4 linked regions of the Coturnix japonica genome follow. The protein of the gene in region 1 interacts with the protein of each later gene in a biochemical or structural test. Links are inferred from orthologs where the notes say so. Each region holds a gene or a part of one and is shown on either strand. Other genes may lie near its edges.

The links.
Region 2: the proteins of PEX5 (region 1) and DDO form a complex in vitro, tested with the Homo sapiens proteins (2 studies listed by BioGRID, with this or other methods). The link is inferred for Coturnix japonica from reciprocal best matches to the Homo sapiens genes PEX5 and DDO.
Region 3: the proteins of PEX5 (region 1) and PEX7 form a complex in vitro, tested with the Homo sapiens proteins (3 studies listed by BioGRID). The link is inferred for Coturnix japonica from reciprocal best matches to the Homo sapiens genes PEX5 and PEX7.
Region 4: the proteins of PEX5 (region 1) and AGXT are reported together in a solved structure, tested with the Homo sapiens proteins (2 studies listed by BioGRID and IntAct, with this or other methods). The link is inferred for Coturnix japonica from reciprocal best matches to the Homo sapiens genes PEX5 and AGXT.

Annotation. Positions count from the first base shown.
Region 1 is NC_029516.1:69,672,504-69,676,920, reverse strand, and holds the start of PEX5 (peroxisomal biogenesis factor 5), read right to left. Parts: upstream 2,818-4,417; 5' UTR 2,735-2,817; intron 2,685-2,734; exon of another isoform or gene 2,566-2,684; intron 2,546-2,565; exon of another isoform or gene 2,412-2,545; 5' UTR 2,371-2,411; coding exon 2,221-2,370; intron 1,859-2,220; coding exon 1,823-1,858; intron 1,644-1,822; coding exon 1,511-1,643; intron 1,108-1,510; coding exon 973-1,107; intron 350-972; coding exon 244-349; intron 1-243. Other genes in the region: solute carrier family 25 member 36-like, read left to right, coding at 3,833-3,915.
Region 2 is NC_029518.1:60,550,785-60,555,232, reverse strand, and holds the start of DDO (D-aspartate oxidase), read right to left. Parts: upstream 2,955-4,448; 5' UTR 2,375-2,954; intron 1,329-2,374; 5' UTR 1,208-1,328; coding exon 1,033-1,207; intron 893-1,032; coding exon 784-892; intron 355-783; exon of another isoform or gene 247-354; intron 169-246; coding exon 1-168. UniProt on the Homo sapiens protein: Selectively catalyzes the oxidative deamination of acidic amino acids. Suppresses the level of D-aspartate in the brain, an amino acid that can act as an agonist for glutamate receptors. Protects the organism from the toxicity of D-amino acids.
Region 3 is NC_029518.1:49,693,282-49,697,749, reverse strand, and holds the start of PEX7 (peroxisomal biogenesis factor 7), read left to right. Parts: upstream 1-1,357; 5' UTR 1,358-1,367; coding exon 1,368-1,609; intron 1,610-2,412; coding exon of another isoform or gene 2,413-2,470; intron 2,471-3,914; coding exon 3,915-4,065; intron 4,066-4,468. UniProt on the Homo sapiens protein: Receptor required for the peroxisomal import of proteins containing a C-terminal PTS2-type peroxisomal targeting signal. Specifically binds to cargo proteins containing a PTS2 peroxisomal targeting signal in the cytosol.
Region 4 is NC_029524.1:3,726,829-3,731,236, forward strand, and holds the start of AGXT (serine--pyruvate aminotransferase), read left to right. Parts: upstream 1-1,353; 5' UTR 1,354-1,393; coding exon 1,394-1,630; intron 1,631-1,704; coding exon 1,705-1,897; intron 1,898-2,041; coding exon 2,042-2,106; intron 2,107-2,174; coding exon 2,175-2,275; intron 2,276-2,348; coding exon 2,349-2,419; intron 2,420-2,552; coding exon 2,553-2,637; intron 2,638-2,818; coding exon 2,819-2,914; intron 2,915-3,207; coding exon 3,208-3,277; intron 3,278-3,408; coding exon 3,409-3,504; intron 3,505-3,621; coding exon 3,622-3,750; intron 3,751-4,042; coding exon 4,043-4,150; 3' UTR 4,151-4,408. UniProt on the Homo sapiens protein: Peroxisomal aminotransferase that catalyzes the transamination of glyoxylate to glycine and contributes to the glyoxylate detoxification.

The sequences.
Region 1 (4,417 bases):
GGAGCTTTTCAGTGCCTATTCGATTATATCAGTCTACAGGATCACAGCATTTCCAGGAACCAGAATCTAGGAAAACAGCGATCTCTTAATCATCATTTTCTCCCTTCTTCTAAAACTAAGATCTGAGAACATATGTCTAGATAAGTGATTCAAAACCATTCAAGATATTTCTCTACCATCTGTCCAGCCTTCACCCATGCAGAAGCCTAGCAGCAATAACTGGTCTTGAGACTAGAGACTCACCATTTATCTGACAGCGACTGGTCTTCTGATTCCCCAAGCCACAGTTTCTCCTCTGACTGCTCAAGGTATTCTTCTGCCCACTTGGCAGGAGACACAGACAGTGGATCTGCAATGGACATTAGGACAGGGAAAGAGTGAGATAAGCGTAACATCACTAAGATTAACTTCAGATTTTGCTTTCATCGTTTTACATACTGTTATCTAACACATGCAGTAAAGACCTTTTCAAAGAAAGAATGTTAATACCTGTTTCTTTTAACTGCGTCCTGAACAAAAAAAAACAATAATCAAGCCTTAGGCTCAGACAGAGTGTTAATACAAATGCCTCTGTGTTGGCAACATCTTTACTTTCTACTTCCACTTCATTATTTAAACACCTGCTCCATGAGGGATACTATGTAGGTCAAGGAAATCAGCAATGCGTTACAAGTCTCTGTCAAAATCAGTATCAAGACTGCTGATCAATGAATGGAACTGCCTGGCTTTCTACAGTGACCACCCCTGGGGAACAGAACAGGATCTAGTTAAATCTGACACATCGTTTCCAGGTTAGGTGCTAGATGGTCAAAGGACTATATTCAGCACACAGCTCCATACGCAATGCAAGATGGCTTTTCAGATTAACTACCACCTAAAAGCATTACTTCAGTTTTAAACTCACTAAATAAACTGCATGCATGCATGTGACCGGGCGACATCCCAACAATAACTCCAAAGGGGACACTTCACCTGTCACTTCAGCAATGAATTCCTGTGACCAGTCAGCCTCATTGTAATCTGAAGAGACATCTCCAGCAGTATCTGCTGCAGCCAAGAACTCCTGGGTCCAGTTTTCAGACAGTGCAAGGGCTGCCACACCTGGAGCTAGAAGAAAAACACAAGTGAATGCGAGAGGACTCAAAGGAATCTTCAGGTAGCCATCGTCATCTCTGAGCAGGTCCTTTCTGTTCATTAGAATAAAATCACCAGAAGATTCTATTTAGAAGGAATCTCTGAAGGCTGCAAGTGTTCTTATAAGAAGAAAAAAAAATGACACCAAAATTAGATCTGATGGCTCAGGGTATTGATCAAGTAGCTTCTAAACTTCTCAAGGTCTGGAGATTCCCCAGAATCCCTAAGCATCTACTACAGTGTGTCAGCATACTGGGAAGTCCAAAGCTGGAAACACTGCTCCACATAACCTCATAACAGAGGGAACCACCCCATTAAGAGTTTAACCACAGCACCAAGACCTTTCCCAGCATCCACTTACTCCAGCTCCCCTCACCTCGCTGAGGAGCCTGACGGAAGCTCGACTGTTCAATCTCTTGCATCTCAGCCAACAGGTCATCCATCTTAAAGGTCTGGGGTGCATGGGACAGTAACGGGGCATTCTGCCCTTGCAGGAACTCTCCGACCAGCTGTCAAAGACAGTGAGAGATTGACATTCATCATCTAAAGCATGGGAGACAAACAGGTAGAGCCACAGAGAGGGAGAAAGAAACAGACTCAACAGAAGAGTAAAATCAGACACAGGGACAAACAGCAAACTAAGCACTGAAGAGAAAGGTAATAAGGACATGCATCCATTTGTTCTTACCTCATCTTCTGAGGCTACTCCCAATGGCTTGGATACCTAGAAGTAACAGTGAGCAGTCACCTCAACAGCTTGGGCTACCCACACAGCACCCCAATTGGCTCACATCCTTTTCTCCCTTCAGGTCAGGCTGACCATTGCATTAGCTGCCTGCACGTGTCCCAGCTATAGGTGCAGGAACATCTTCCCACCACCCCCTATGGGTTAGCCACTGCATTAGCAAGGCATGCGACCCCCCCACGGCTGCTACCATCCTGCCAGCACCCCCAGACTCAGCCACTACGAGCAAGACCAAGGCCCACCACCCTGCTGACAGCCCGGACAGCCCCACAGCCCCTTTCCCACGCAAAGCAGCCCACCCCCCGTTGCCCTCAGCGATCGAAGCGCCCCTCGACACTCACAGCAGCGGCCCCCGCCGCGCCCGGCGGCCAACCGAGGGATCCCTGGAGCCCTTCCTGCCGCAAGGCCTTGTCCTGGGTGAAGTGGCCGGCCAGCTTCAGCAGGGGGTTGGAGCCCCCGCACTCCGGCTCCACCAGCTCCCTCATAGCCATGGCGAGAGGCACGGGCAGCGCCAGACCCCTGCGGGCAGCACCTGGCCCCGGGGCGACACCGGGCCCACGTCAGGCGGAGCGCTCAGACACCCACCCCGGCAGCCTGCGCCCCGAGCCGGAACCCGCCTGAGCACCGGGACGTTCGTCTGGCTGCCTTCACTCCACCTCCCCTGCCCCAGCCTCACCCGGATTTACCCCACAAACCGGCCAGACAACCAGGCCGCACACCACGGTCTGGCCCGCTGGGCGCCGGCCCCAGCCCCACAGCGACGGTAGCACCGCAAGCCCCCCCCCACTACCCCGCAAAGCCGCCGGGTGGGCCACGCCAAGTCACGGGAGCCCTCCCCCACAGCCCACCCCGTACCTGGAGACTCTGGGTCGCGGGGCTGGGCGGGGGGCGGGGACAGCTCTTAAAGGAACAGGCACCTCGTCAAATCCGGCACCCACAGAATCACACAGAATGACCCGGGTTGGAAGGGACCTCAAGGATCATGTAGTTCCAACCCCCCTGCCTGGCAGGGCCACCAAACATACACCTTTACTAGATCAGGTTGCCCAGGGCCCCGTCCAACCTGGTCTTGAACACCTCCAAGGACGGGGCATCCACAACCTCCCTGGGCAGCCTGTTCCAGGGCCTAACCACTCTCCTAGTGAAGAACTTCCCCCTAACATCCAACCTAAATCTTCCCTCTTTTAACTTAAAACCATTTCCCCGTGTCCTGCTATTGTCAGCCCTTTCCAAGAGTTTACTCCCCTCCTGGGAGTAAGTTCCCTTCAGGTATTGAAAGGCTGCAATGAGGTCACCCCGCAACCTTCTCTTCTCTAGGCTGAACAAACCCAGCTCCCTCAGCCTGTCCTCATAGGGGAGGTGCTCCAGCCCCCTGATCATCTTCGTGTCCCTCCTCTGGACCCTTTCCAAAATCTCCATATCTTTTTTGTACTGAGGGCTCCACACCTGGACACAGTACTCCAGATGGGGCCTCACAAGAGCCGAGTAGAGAGGGACAATCACCTCCCTATCCCTGGACGTGTGGGTCATTGGACCCACACCAATGACGTTTGTGGAGCTTCACTTTAGATTACATCTTCCTTTGGTTCTGTGGCTCACTGGTGGCTGAAATACCCCAAGGATACCTCCTGTACAGACATCTGCCAGCCTGGCTCTTGTGTCATTGTGATGTTATTCTACAGTGGGTAACGTATATCACTGTTGCAAGGGGTGGGATCCAGGACACCTGGATTCGGCCCACAGTTACAAGCATCAGCAGCACACACAGCCCTACCGCCCACAGCCCACGAGCCGTGGGTGTAGCTTAGCACAGGGATCCGGAGCAACCCCAGCCCCATCGTCCCGCCCCACATGCGGCCTTCCGGGCTGCCCGCCTCCGCCCGGGGAGCCAATGCGAGTGTAGGGCGGGCGGGCCAGGCCTCTCCCTCGGGCTGCCGGTGACGGATCCCAACCATGCCCGCAGAGCAGCGGAGCCTTCCGACGGAGCGCCGTGCCATGGCACAGCATAGCACCCTACTGCACCTGTTCGCCGGAGGGTGAGTGGTCCTTTGCGGCCGGCACACGGCCCCCCTGCTATAGGGAGGGACACCTGCCTTTAAACCAGGCTGCTCACAGCCCCATCCAGCCTGGCCTTGAATGCTTCCAGGGAGGGGGCACCCACAACCCCCCCACAACCTGCTCCACAACCTGTTCCAGCATCTCACCACCCTCACAGTAAAGAATTTCTTCCTCTTATTCATCCTAAATGTACCCTCTGCCAGCTTAAAGCCGTTATTGAATGTGATGTAACACATCTGCCTGAGGAAATCTAGGACCTGGACATTTCTAAAGGCTGGGAGAGTGTTCTTCAGGAGAGTGTTTCTTCTCTTCTATAGGCAGCAGTTATTATGGACAGAATCCTGGTATAGATGGAGATTAGTCTTCAAGTTATCACCATTTTCAGCTATCCAAAATAAGGTTTGATAAGTCTTTTAAGTCTGTAGTGGTATGATGCTATACTTCTTTGCTGGTGTGAATCTCAGGTTACATAACCGTATA
Region 2 (4,448 bases), on another chromosome or scaffold:
AGCCACAGCAGGTAGCGGGGGCAGTCACACTTTAGTGTTGTAAAGGCCTGGCCATGGCTGTGCTGTGGGAACTTCTGCATTTCTGCTGCAGACATTGGTCGAAACCCCAGGACAACGTCAGACCAGAAAGGCACCTCAGCTTCGGAAGGGTTTTTAAAGATCTGCCAGCTGAAAGAACACAAGAAAAATAAGCTGCAAAACATAGCTGCTAGTGCTATGCCCCATTGCTGCAATCTTAGCACAAACCCAAGGATTCAGCAGTCTGTTCCTATTTGAACTACACAGCTCTGCAAAGGGCAATCACTTCTGCAGCATGTCCTGGCACACAGGCAGAAGGTCTGAGTGTTATACCCTGGGGCGGATCAACCAGAGAGAGGCTCAGTGTCCAGATTAAAAATTGTCAGATGCCAAGAACTGAAGAAAATACTATGATTACACCCATTGCATTCCTACACCAACTTGCTGAAGCCAGAGCATCCTGCAGTCCTACCCCTCCTGTGATCACCTCTGCTGCAAGCAACCAGCTAGTGATAACACATAAAATATCCATTATAAAAAATAGTTTGGGGCAGGCTAGTATCACATGGTTTCTCTATGCATACCAGTGCATGAACTCTGCTTGAGAATATATCCTAGTGGAGCAGCTGCAGTGCAGCTTCTTGGGAATATGGTCATGACAGCTACCCCATGAGAGGCATGAAGCTGAGCTTCAGAAAGAAAAACCTCTACCTGCTGCAGCACACAGTAGATGTCTGCCAAATGCTGCCCTTTGGCTGCTCTTACCCAGAGACCAGGTGAATGCCAGCTTCTGACGCCTCGGCTGAGTTGCAGATAGCAAAAAGGTAGGTGAAGGTCTCTTTGAACCACTGCTTCTGCACGTGGATTGGTGTGTCTGCACTCAAATACAATCAAACACACGAGGGTGAAAACACAAATAGGAGAAGTATAAAGGCGGCAGCAAGAAGACAGGACAGGTGGGAGTGAAAGAAAAGGTACTTTTCTCAAAATGCTGGCACACCAGCTCACACGCACCTGGGTAGGTGTGAGGGATGAGCATGCCAGCTGCCACGTCGCTCGTCGTGTTGGGGCTGAACTGCTCTGAAAGGAGGGTGATGGAGCAGCAGTTCGGGTTCACCTCAGCAATACGTAACGCTGTGGACAGTCCGATGAGCCCTGCTCCCACCACTGCCACCCTGGGGGCTGCCATCTGTGGGGTAGGGACTGGTGGAGACAGGCACCTATGGGCATTTGAGATGGTATATAGGTAACATGTCCCAGCTGCAGTGTGCACAGCATCCTGCTGGACAGCATCCTCACCTCTTAAACACCTGCACAGGACACAACATAACCTCTGGCAGCTAAATGAAGACTTGCCACTGCACAAAGGTGAGGGTGAGCATCACAATACCCCAGCACGACAACCCATGTTTGAGAAATGTCCCAACTCAGACAGTTCCTGCCTCATCCACAGCACAGAGCAAGAGAGAAGTTGGTGCATAGGGCACTGGTGTAATAATCTGTGGTAAGGCTTTTTCAGTGACTCCCAGGGAGTGAGGTATCCATCAATCTTCCTGTGGGGTCAGGAGTACTGTAGTGCCCCTTGGAGTTCTGGGAAAACTGGCCCCTCAGCCACCAAAAAGGAACAGTACTGTTTGGACATCAGCATCTGCAGACTCCCTAAAGCCAGGGAATAAATAAGCCCAGAGCAGACTGGACAGAGGAAGACATAATAAATCCTTCAGATTTATCTTTAATGAATGCAGTACATTATTATTAAGCTTTTATTCCTTGGCCTTTGACATATTTGATAATAGTCTGGATAAGACCAACTGTGTGAGTTTACATATATTTACAAGGTCCTTTCTCACAACACTTCATAGCTGCTCACTTTCCCAGCAGAATTACATGAAGTTTGATGTCATAGAATTGTAGAATCATGAAGGTTGGAAAAGACCACTAAAATCATCTAGTCCAACCGCCAACTTATCACCATTCACCATCATGCCCATTAAGCCATGTCCCTGCTGTGTGATAAGGGAGGGGGGGATAAGCACTGCTGCTTATCATTGCATTCTTTCTGCACCACAGCCCAGGGTTGTTGCAACTTCCCCTCCTGTTCTGGGATGATGCTTAACTCTTTTCCTGTCAATTATTACAACTTCTTTCACAAGGCAACCACAAAAATGCCCACACAGCAAGGAAAGAGAACACAGCTCAGGAGTAAAGGTGAACCCTGAACCAGCACTAACAACCCACTTTGCTGTCACCATAAACCCAGTCTGAAGAAATTCTGCTCTGAACACAAGCCACACCCCTCAGCCCTTCCAGCACCCTAAGGCCAGGACTAAGATGGGGATTGAATTTCCCAACTGACCTCTCTGCAGCTGGGGAAGAAAAGGGAACTGCAGCTCAGTAGCGGTTTGGATTTCACTGCAAACCTCCCTGGTTCAGATGGGATTTCCTCAGGCGAGCTGGTTCAATGTCGGCTGATCCCAGCACTGCAAAAGCTGTCAGGAGTGTGAGCAGGAAGGGGCTGCCGGTGCTGCTGGAGCCCACAGGAGCCCAGCCACGATGGACAGTTGTCACGCTGTTGTTCCAGCACTGACTGCTGTGAGACAGGAGCACATCAGGCCTTAATGTGCTAATGTGCCAAAAACTGAGTGCAAAGCAGAGGCTAAAGGCCACTCTAGTCCCAGCAGCAAGCACAGCCTGGCCCCAGCAAAGCTGCTGATGCAATGAGCAGATGATTACTCGCACTCCTGCCTTCATGCACCTGGGAGGGCTCATGAGGACAGGCTATTTTTACCCAGCATGGCCAGCCAGCAGACACAGTGCCCCTGCCACCCTCCTACTCCTCTGTGGCCAGAACAAATGGCCAGACCGGAGGAAAGCCATCGGTTTTGTTTCCCTGCAGCACAGGCAGATTCTGTTTCACCCATCTCCTGACATACCCAAGTGCAATCCCACCTCTGAGAGCCCCTGAGGCCTGCAGTGCAGCCCTGTGGCCCTGCTGCTGCCTGAGCAGGCTGCTGCCTCCCTCCCCTCCCCACTGAGCACCATTTCAGCTAACAAAAAACAAACCAAAACAGCAAGAGAGGGAGAGGGAGAGGAAGTACCTGGAGAAGAGAGGCTGAGTGGGCCCTGAGAGCTGCCCCAGCCCCACTGCTGCCGCAGGCTGTGTGTGTCCGGCCCAGCACTGGCTCTGAGCCCAGGCACAGCTGAGCCCCACTCTCCGGCTGCCAGAACTTGGCTTGCACAGATAGGAGGCTCCCAGGCTCCTCGATGCCACTTTACCTCCCTTACTAGCAATTAGCTGCACACTGGATGTTTCTGAAGTTGCCCCGAGCTCGCTGTAAGATTCCAGCAGGCAGTCAGAGTGGTGATAATGCACATGGCACCTCAGTCAGCATGGTCAATAAGAACAAGCCAGCCAGCCAAGCCTGCAAGCATTTGCACTGTCATCAGGAAAACACAACTTAGCCAGAAGCACACCTGCCTGCAGGATCCCCAGGGTCCTGATAACATTGTACAGCAGGGTGTTGTACTGCAGGGCACATGGTGTTGCTGTGGCATTTCAGCTGACAACTATCAGCCTGAACTCAGAGGGTCAGCAGTGCAGTTCCCCTCCATCCTCCTAGAGCAGCATTTGCCATGAATCCTCCTGGCAGCAGCCTTTTCCCTACAGCTTCAGCACAGAGCAGGAAGCCCCCAAGGGGCCTGGGAGCACAGCAGGAGAGCAAACATAGCACAGACTATGCACAGCACCTGCCTCACCTCCCTGTGGAGCTGCTCTGAAACCATGCAAGTAAAGACATGATCTAGTGCACACACACGATCACTGACCTTTTTCCTTCAGTGATAAAAAGAACAAGGAATAATTTTGCCAGAACAATAGCACAGCTTGATTTTCTCTCAAAGTTCTGAGAAGAACAGAGAATTGTATAAGACAGGGAAGAAATCTCTTAATATCAGAAAGGTACTGGCAATACTGATTTCCGTATCTAAAAGCCTCGTTGAAAATACTCATCAGAGAATGTTTATTTATCTTCAGTTCTTTTGCTACATTCACAACTACCTCAGTGAAAACTGCTTTTCTTTCTCATCACTGGCAATGAAACCACGGAGAGAACCTTTGTAAGAACTGCCCTGTGATGCTCTTTTTTTCCATCCAGAGCAAGTCATCTTTCTCCCAAGTGAAACATTAGAAGGCGATACGAGTAACTAGAGGGCCATCATCCAGGCTCATGGCTGGGTCCTTTCTTCCCCGCAACAAGCACTTGAGAGCTATCCAAGCCTATGTCAGACAGGAATGCAGGAGGAGTTTATCTGTCACTAAATGGGGAAGCAATTCGCCATTACTTCTGATTGTTCATAAACCTAGGCTAGTCACTTCTTTGGAAGAGCTGTTTTTGTGTCCAGATCTCTTTGCAGTCGTATTAATTTGTCAG
Region 3 (4,468 bases), on another chromosome or scaffold:
GAAAAGAGCTTACTGCATTCCCCAGCGTTTTAAGCTGTTTATCCTTAAGCCTAAAGGAACAGCTCACAGTCTACTTTCTGTGATAGAAAGGCTCATTTTGCAATGTTTTATTATTGTTGTTGTTGTTGTTGTTGTTGTTGTTGTTGTTGTTGTTGTTATTATTATTAATGCCTGCAGTATTCTCTTGCTGATAACAGATTCTTTAAGGATTTGTGTATGTAGAAGTGCTTGCCACCAGCTCAGCTCATGCCTAAACTGGCTGTCAGACAAGCAAGCTGAGGGAATGACGTGCATGTGTCTATGGCAGAACAGAGATCAGTGCTCTGAAAAGGAGGAGAACTGGATGCAGGGATCCAGTCAGCATCTTGACCGCATGTTCCAATGCCAATAAGGTGCGTAGGGTGATGAGCTGAGCTCGAAGAAGTGACTGCAGTATAAACAGAGCCTATACTTTGCATACTGAGAGGGTGGGGAATCAATTCATTGAAGTGATGCTTTGTGAGCAAAATACTCGCAGTGGAGGGCTGTTGGTGGAGCACGGCTGCCATCTAACGGGGCGTTGTGGCTACACGGGCTTTGTGCTAGACAGGGGGGTTGGAACTACATGATCCTTGAGGTCCCTTCCAACCCGGGTCATTCTGTGATTCTGTGATTCTGTGTTGGGAGGAGCCGGCCGGTAGCACAGCTGGTTTCTATGCTGCTATGAAACGCTACTGTTACCGGCTGTCCTTTGTCCCTCTGGGATTTACTCACATGCCCTGGACCCTAGGCGGAAATACTCGCGTTTCCCTACTCTCTCTGCTCGTAAAATAGCTTTTCAGAATCACAGAATTATCAAGGTTGGAAAACACCTAGAAAATCATCTAGTCCAACCATTACAAATACTTCCCAGCTAAATCATATTCCTCAACACAACATCCAGACTTTTCTTGAACACTCCCATGGTCGGTGACTCCACCACCTCCCTGGGCAGTGCATTCCAATGCCTGACTGCCCTTTCTGAGAAGTAATACTTCCTAATGTCCAGCCTGAATCTCCCCTGGCACAGCTTTTTTATTATTTATTTATTTATTTATTTATTTATTTATTTATTTCTCTAGTTGTTACCGTATCTTCCTTTCAATCTCGATACACAAATACTTCTGTTAGGAAGTGAAACAAAACGGCTATTTCTAAAGGCCATCGAAGCGTGAATGCACAAGCTTGTCTGTGGGGAAATAAACGGTATGGGGAACTAGTCTTTCTCATAACGTTCTGTCTGCTCCTTGGCCATCGATGTCTACAAACACCCTATTAACACGTCCTCAAAACAAAGCATTCTCCTGTCCCATGGTCAAGAAGGACCTCTGTCGGTGAACCCCGAAACTATGTGCCCGCTATGCTGCCAGCGCCAAAGATGGCGGCACCGCCTCAGCGTGGCGGGCGGGACTCTTCCGACGCAGCTCAGCGGTGCCGCCTCCCAAGCTCGGGCCGGGCCGGGCCGGGGCCATGGGCACGGCGGGCGGCGGCGTGCTGAGGCTGCCGGGGCTGCACGGCTACGCGGCCGAGTTCTCGCCATACTGGCCAGGCCGTGTGGCCTGCGCCGCTGCGCAGTACTACGGCATCGCAGGTGATGTACTTGAGGCAAACGGGCCGACTGATGGTATTTTCTCCCTGTGACATAGTGTAGCGCTGCCCTTGTGTTGGGTGCTCGGCCGGCCCGGTGGGGGTGCAGAACAGGCTGCCTCGGGGTTGGAGGAATTTGCATTTCCACTCTATTTTCACAGAGTGGAAATAAATACAAACAAAAGCTACATCTGCTGTGTTACTGAAGAGGTAGAAAGGAGCTGGTCCTGGTATACCTATAACACAGGGCCAATGCTTGTGTGTGGGGGTGCACTTAGGGCTGACAGTAGCAGGACACGGGGAAATGGTTTTAAGTTGAAAGAGGGAAGATTTAGGTTGGATGTTAGGGGGAAGTTCTTCACTAGGAGAGTGGTTAGGCTCTGGAACAGGCTGCCCAGGGAGGTTGTGGATGCCCCGTCCTTGGAGGTGTTCAAGACCAGGTTGGACAGGGCCCTGGGCAACCTGATCTAGTAAAGGTGTATGTTTGGTGGCCCTGCCAGGCAGGGGGGTTGGAACTACATGATCCTTGAGGTCCCTTCCAACCCGGGTCATTCTGTGATTCTGTGACTTCTGTGCAGGAGGTGCTGCTTTTCCAGCCTCAACCACAGGTGTACTGGGGGAGGAGAACTTGATGTAAATGAAATCCTGTTTTGGAGAGCAGAAGAGGCAACAGGCTGTTGCACAACTAACTGTGTGGCCTCTTAAAGAAGTTTAGCTTCCTTACGCTCACAGGAGCTATCACAGAACTTGTAGGACCTTTGGTGTGAGCAAGGAGTTGTGATGTTTGGTTATACTGTGCTGTTTTAGGTTGTGGAACTCTGGCAGTGCTGGAACAAAATGAAACTGGGATTGTCCTGCTCAGGAGGTAATGCTGTAAATATTCTCTGTTGTGAAAATAAGGTGTAAACCTGTATTGTTGTTTGTAGAAAACCCATCCCGAACATTTTGGTGTATTGTTATCAATGTAAACTGTTGTATCTGTACTATATTGTCTGCTGTACACATATATTTTTATCGAGGTGCAAATGATTGGCTTACATTCCACGTCTCATTACAAAAAGTAATTCAGATGACACCTTTTCCATAGTGTAAGCCGTTTTATGGAAAACTGGCAGTGTAAATTAAAAGCTCTGACCCAGCTTGACATTGGAAGTTTGGTTGTTATTGCAGGTGTCACCTCTGTTTATCCCTTTAAGGTTGGCTTAGATTGAAAATAGAGCAGGAAGCTGGGATAAGTCAAGGAAGTCCTTTCTTGGAGATGGAATGCTCCAAGAGAGGAGTTTGGTCCATGTTCTGGGTGGGAGAAGGGGAGGGGTTAGTGCTTAGCCTCTATTCACCTAATTATGCAAACAACAGTTGTTTAGATTAAGAAGGGAAATGAGATATAAGTATTAAGCAAGAAATTAGAAAAATCTGATAAGCTGTTTTTAATTCATAATTATCCACCTGACTCTCTGAAACTGTTAAACACGCTCTTCATTCTACAAAGTGTTCTGTTCATTTCTGTGTTTCTAGAGACTCCACTTATTCTGTGGTGGAAAGTCCTGTGCTTTCCTGAGCACCGAGCTATGCCATTTTCCCCATAGAAGCTTTCTGTGTGTGTGCCTTTCTCTTCATAATTACTGCAGTGTGCTATGAAGCTTAATCTGAGCTGAGTTAAACCTTCAGTGAGAGGGGGGTAAATAGGTCGTATTTACTATGAGATAACAGTGTGGTTATTAATAGGTGTTGCAGAGCAACCAGCACACGGTACTTGATCCTGGAGGATGAATGGGTGGTGTGCTGAAAGCCCTTTTTAGGAGTTACAGAGATCTTTAATATTTTCATGACTGCTCTTCTCTTGGTTTTTCATTGTCACTCAGATTCTTAATGGTGTTGTGGATTGAATAGAGACCTCCCAACATGGTTTTATTTCTTTGATTACCACAGTTATTGTGGACTGCAGGCTCTGACCACTGTAGCAGCAGCATCCTGGAGAGATGGTAGGTTAGTCTGAGATGTGTAGCACCTCTCATCTGACTTCTCAGCAGTTTAGAACTGAAGTCAGATTCCATTCTCTGTGTCTGAGGTCCTTGGCTCACTTACACTTTAATTGACCTACTCTGACCGTAGTCAACCTATTCTTGTAGAAGTTAACATTGTATCCAGTAAGTTGCTTATGAGGAGATTCACTGGAAACTGAAATGGGTAAATAAGCTGTTCAGAATGGTAAGCAGGTTGATTATAAAAAGCTACTGTCTTTGCACACAGCTAGTCCGGATTTGTGTTATGCTTTCCCATGGACAAATATCTTCATTGTTTCTGTTCAGCTTTGACTGGAATGACGGCCTGTTTGATGTGACATGGAGTGAGAATAATGAGCACGTGTTGATCACTTCTAGCGGGGATGGGTCTCTGCAGATCTGGGATATAGCGAAGCCCAAAGGTCCACTGCAAGTCTATAAGGAGCACACTCAGGAGGTAAATCCAGCAAACTGCAGGAATTTGCTGGACTGTCTAATACTTGAATTACTAAAGGGGATATTTGAGCACTCAAAATCAAAAGTGTTTTCTGTCATCTATTTTTTTTTAACTTTGTTTGGGCCAATGATTTGAATTTAAAGCTTCATGTTATTTTCAGTATAAAGTTAATATATTATACATATTCATTTGCACATTCACACTCGTGTCGTAGGTAACTCTTAGTCTGATAAATGTAATAAATTCAGAAATAGAGTCTGTGGTTCCTTCTAAACTAAGTAACCATTGAGTTGTATGAAAGTCATTCTGTAGCCTTAGAGGACATTGTTGGATAGGCCAAAGTCAGGCAGCTGATGCATATAGCTGAGTTATCCTTGAGGGTACAGAATGATAGAAATTATAT
Region 4 (4,408 bases), on another chromosome or scaffold:
CACCTGCCGCCCCCGGGGCATCGCCTCCCCCCGACAGATGCTTCTGGAAGCCGCGGCGGCTCCGTGCCCGCCGTGCCCGCCGTGCCCCCCATCCCCGTCCCCGCACGGTGCCGGGCAGCCCCCGCTGCCCCTCTGCGCCCCGATGGGGCGGCGGCCCCGAGCTCCTCCCGGACGGGTCCCGCGCGATGCCGGTGCCGCCGCCCCTACCTGTGCCCGTGGGCGGCGGGGCGCTGCGCTCAGCCTCTCAGCACCGGCATGGGGCCGGCACCGCTGGTGATGCCGGTACCGCCGCTGGTGATGCCGGTACCGCCGCTGGTGATGCCGGTACCGCCGCCGATGCCGGTGTCGGTGCGGGCGGTGTCGGCCCCTCCCCTGCGGTGCCGCCCTGCCCCTCCCCACCCCCTCGGTCCCATTGGCCAACGCCGGTTACGTCACCGCATCCCACCCCACCATCCCCGCCACCCCCGGCCCCGCGATGCGGATCCGCCGCAAGGGTGCGGGGAGAGGCGGGACCTGCGGCACCACGGCAACCGGCACCACGGCAACCGGCACCACGGCAACCGGCCCCTCTCCCATCTCTCGGAGCCTCCGCCCGTGCTGCTGCCCGCCCAGCAATTCATATACCTGTCCCAGCCATGGCCGCTGCTTCTCCACGAGTGTGCTGTGGGATAGAGCCGCAGGCTCTGCTGCAGTCTATGTAGGTTATTACATCCACAGCCCTTCCATCATCCACCAGCTGGGTCAGCCGGTCATAGATCAGGTTGGTCAGACAGGACCTGCCTGCCATGAAGCTGTGCTGGCTGGGCCTGATCCCCCAGTTGTCCTACACATGCCATGTGATCTCACTCAAGATGATCTGCTCCATTAACTTCCCTGGCACCGAGGTCAAGCAGACACATCTGTAGCTCCCCGGATCCTCCTTATGACCCTTCTAGAAGGTGGGTGTCACATTAGCAATCTCCAGTCACCTGCACCTCCCCAGCTGACCAGGACCACTGACAGATGATGGAAAGCAGCTCAGCAATCACTTCACCCTCTCAGCACCCCCAGCTGGGTCCCAATGGCCCCATGGACTTGGCTCAGCCCAGGTGAGGCAGGAGGTTGCTGTTTCCTCCTACACATGGCATTTTGTTCTGCCCCCACTCCTACCTTCCAACACAGGGAGCTGAATACCTTGAGGTTTACTGGCCTGACTGTTGTAAAGAAAGCACTGAGAACCTCAGTGACAACATTCCCCGTCACGGCTGACGGAGCCCGGTGTGGGGCACTGCATCCCCCGGCCACCCCACGAGAACAGTGCTGAGTACACTGCACTGCTGGTGGCACATTAACTGGATGGGAGGTGGCGGGGGCAGAGTCCGGCGGTCATTGTCCGTGTGGCCGTGGGCAGGGGATGCACCGCACCACAGCACTGCCGATATCCATAGCAGCTCTCCTGCGGGCTTGCAGCACAGCTGCCTGTGCCATGGCTGCTCCCACACCCCATATCCCCCCGCCCCGTGAGCTGCTGCGGCCACTGGCCGTGCCCTACCGGCTGCTGCTGGGGCCGGGGCCCAGCAACCTGTCCCCCCGAGTGCGGGCAGCCGGCAGCCAGCAGATCGTGGGCCACATGCATCCCGAGGTGCTGCAGGTGAGTTGGCTCTGCCCCAGCAGCCCACACCCCCTGTGTTACTGGGCTGACGGCGGTGCTGGTCCTTATCTCAGGTGATGGAAGAGATCAAGGCGGGCATCCAGTACGCCTTCCAGACGCGGAACCGGATCACGTTGGCTGTCAGCGGCACCGGGCACTGCGCCATGGAGGCTGCCCTTATCAACCTGCTGGAGAGCAGTGACACCGTGCTGGTGGGCAACAACGGCATCTGGGGAGAGCGTGCTGCTGACGTCGCCAGGAGGCTGGGTATGGCTGCTTGTATGTGAGCTGACAGCCTGAGCCATGCAGAGAGCTCAGGTTTTGTGGGGTGACACCCTCAGGGCAGTTTGTGTCAGGCACCCGATTAATGTGTGCCCAAAACTCCACATCCCTCTGTACATTTCCCCCCAGGAGCCAAGGTCCATGAGCTGCTGAAGCCTCCGGGTGAATACTTCACCTTGAGGGACATTCAGGAGGTATGTGCCACCTGTGGGGCACCGGGACTGAGCCCCACACAGGTTCTCACTGTGCTGTTCTCACCCAGGGCTTGGCACAGCACAAACCCTCAGTGCTCTTCCTCACTCACGGCGAGTCTTCCACGGGGGTCCGGCAGCCACTGGAGGGGCTGGGCGAGCTGTGCCACCGGTCAGTGCTCCTGGGGACCCCAGCAGGGCTGGGCTGCAGGGGGCTGTGGGGCTGAGCTCTGGTCCCCCTCCAGGCACGGCTGCCTGCTGCTTGTGGATGCGGTGGCATCGCTCGGGGGAGTGCCCATCCTCATGGACCAGCAGGGTGAGAGCCGCGGTGCTAGCGAGGAACAGGGGTCCCTGAGTGCCCCCACACCAGCACCTGTGGTGTGTGCCCTGCGTTTCCCACTGGCAGTGGGGCAGAGTCCTGCTCAGAGCCCTTGGTCCCTCTCATGCAGGGATTGATGTACTATACACGGGGTCCCAGAAAGTCCTCAGTGCCCCCCCTGGCATCTCTCCTATCTCATTCAGTGAGCGAGCAAGGTAAGGACTGCCCCGTCCCAGCAGGGCTGGGGGCACAGGTAGGAGGACCCCCCTCCTTGGCCACATCCCCTGGCTGCAATGCCAACCCAGTGCTCACTTCAGGCTCTGTGCTCCAGGGCAAGCAGTGGGTAGAGGGGCTCTCCCTTCCATGGGGCAGCGCTCAAGTGCTGTGTTCTGCCAGGGAGAAGATGCAGAGGAGGAAGACGAGGCCCCCATCCTTCTACCTGGACATGAGCTGTCTGGCGAGCTACTGGGGCTGCGATGGAGAGCCACGCATGTGAGGGCGGGCTGTACCCAGACAGGAAGCTGTGGCTGCCCCACCACATTCCAAACCCTAGCCCTAAATCTAGCCTAAATCCAAAGCCCCCCATCTTATCCAGTTGCTCTGCTCTATTTGCATTTCTTCTCCTTGCCCCCAAAACAGCCCCTTTGTCCCAGCTTTGCATCCCTGCCCAGGTCCCCTCCCCAGAGACTCTGCCACTGCTCCCCACTTCTCCCTACCTCTCCCACATGCCTGCCCCAGGGGCTTGCAGCAGCTGAGCCTGCCTTGGGGCTCCCTGGATTTTGCAGGTACCACCACACAGGGCCCGTCAGCAGCATCTTCTGCCTGCGGGAGGCCTTGGCCGGGCTGGCGGAGCTGGTGAGCTGGGCATAGGGACAGCTGATCTGGGCCACACCTGTGTTATAGCAGGGTTTGGGGAGCAGAGTGTGGTCAGCTGTCGGTGGTGGCATGGGACATTCAGGCAGGGGACATTTATTCTTTGCTGCCAGGGCCTGGAGAGCTCATGGAAGCAGCACCAAGCTGTCTGCACCCGCCTGTGCCAGGGGCTGCAGGATCTGGGGCTGGAGCTCTTCGTGAAGGAGGAGGTGCAGGATGTGGGCACAGACCCACACAGCTCAGAGCTTCCCTGGTGCTGGAGAGGAGCCCTGGTTCAGGGAAGCAGAAGGGATGTGTGGCTCTAACCCTGTGCCTTTCCTCCCCAGGCGGCACGGTTGCCCACCGTCACCACCGTCAGGGTGCCTGAAGGCTACAACTGGAAGGAGATCACAGCCTTCCTGATGGATAAACACAGCATTGAGATCTCTGGGGGCCTGGGCCCTACTGCAGGCAAGGTGAGCGGCATGCTCCCCATCTCTGAGCCCACACAGCTGCAGACACTGGCAGTGCACCATGCAACTAGCACAGGGCTGTGCAGCCCCCGCTGCCTGAAGCAACATTCCTTGCCACACAGAGTAGCTGCACACGTGATTAGTTAGTAGGGTAACATATCTTTATCATGACAGAGAGGAAATGAGGGTTAAATAGGAACAGACTGGGATGCACACACGTATATACAGCTTGTTGTGTGCCCCACATGGGGCCCAAAGGTGGGGGCTGCAGGGGAAACCCGCCCTTCTCCTCCAGGTGCTGCGGATCGGCCTCATGGGGCACAACGCGACCCAGGACAACGTGGACCGCCTGCTGCAGGCCCTGCGAGACGCCCTGCAGCACTGCCAGCACAGCAGGCTGTGAGCAGATGCCCACAGGGAGCAGCACATCGGCAGGACATGGCACAGATGTGGCCCAAAGCCTTCCTCCTCTCCCAGTGCCCAGCTCCCCATCCTGCCTGGCTTGGGGCTCGGCAGCCCCACGGGCTTGGGGGGCTGGGGGCAGGATCCAGCTTGCAGGCCCCCTCCCCTCCAATCCCTTCTGTTACCATCACCACCACCCATCTGCTGCAGACGTGTGCTGCTCCCCAGTGCCACCTCTCCTGAATAAAGCCACACAGCT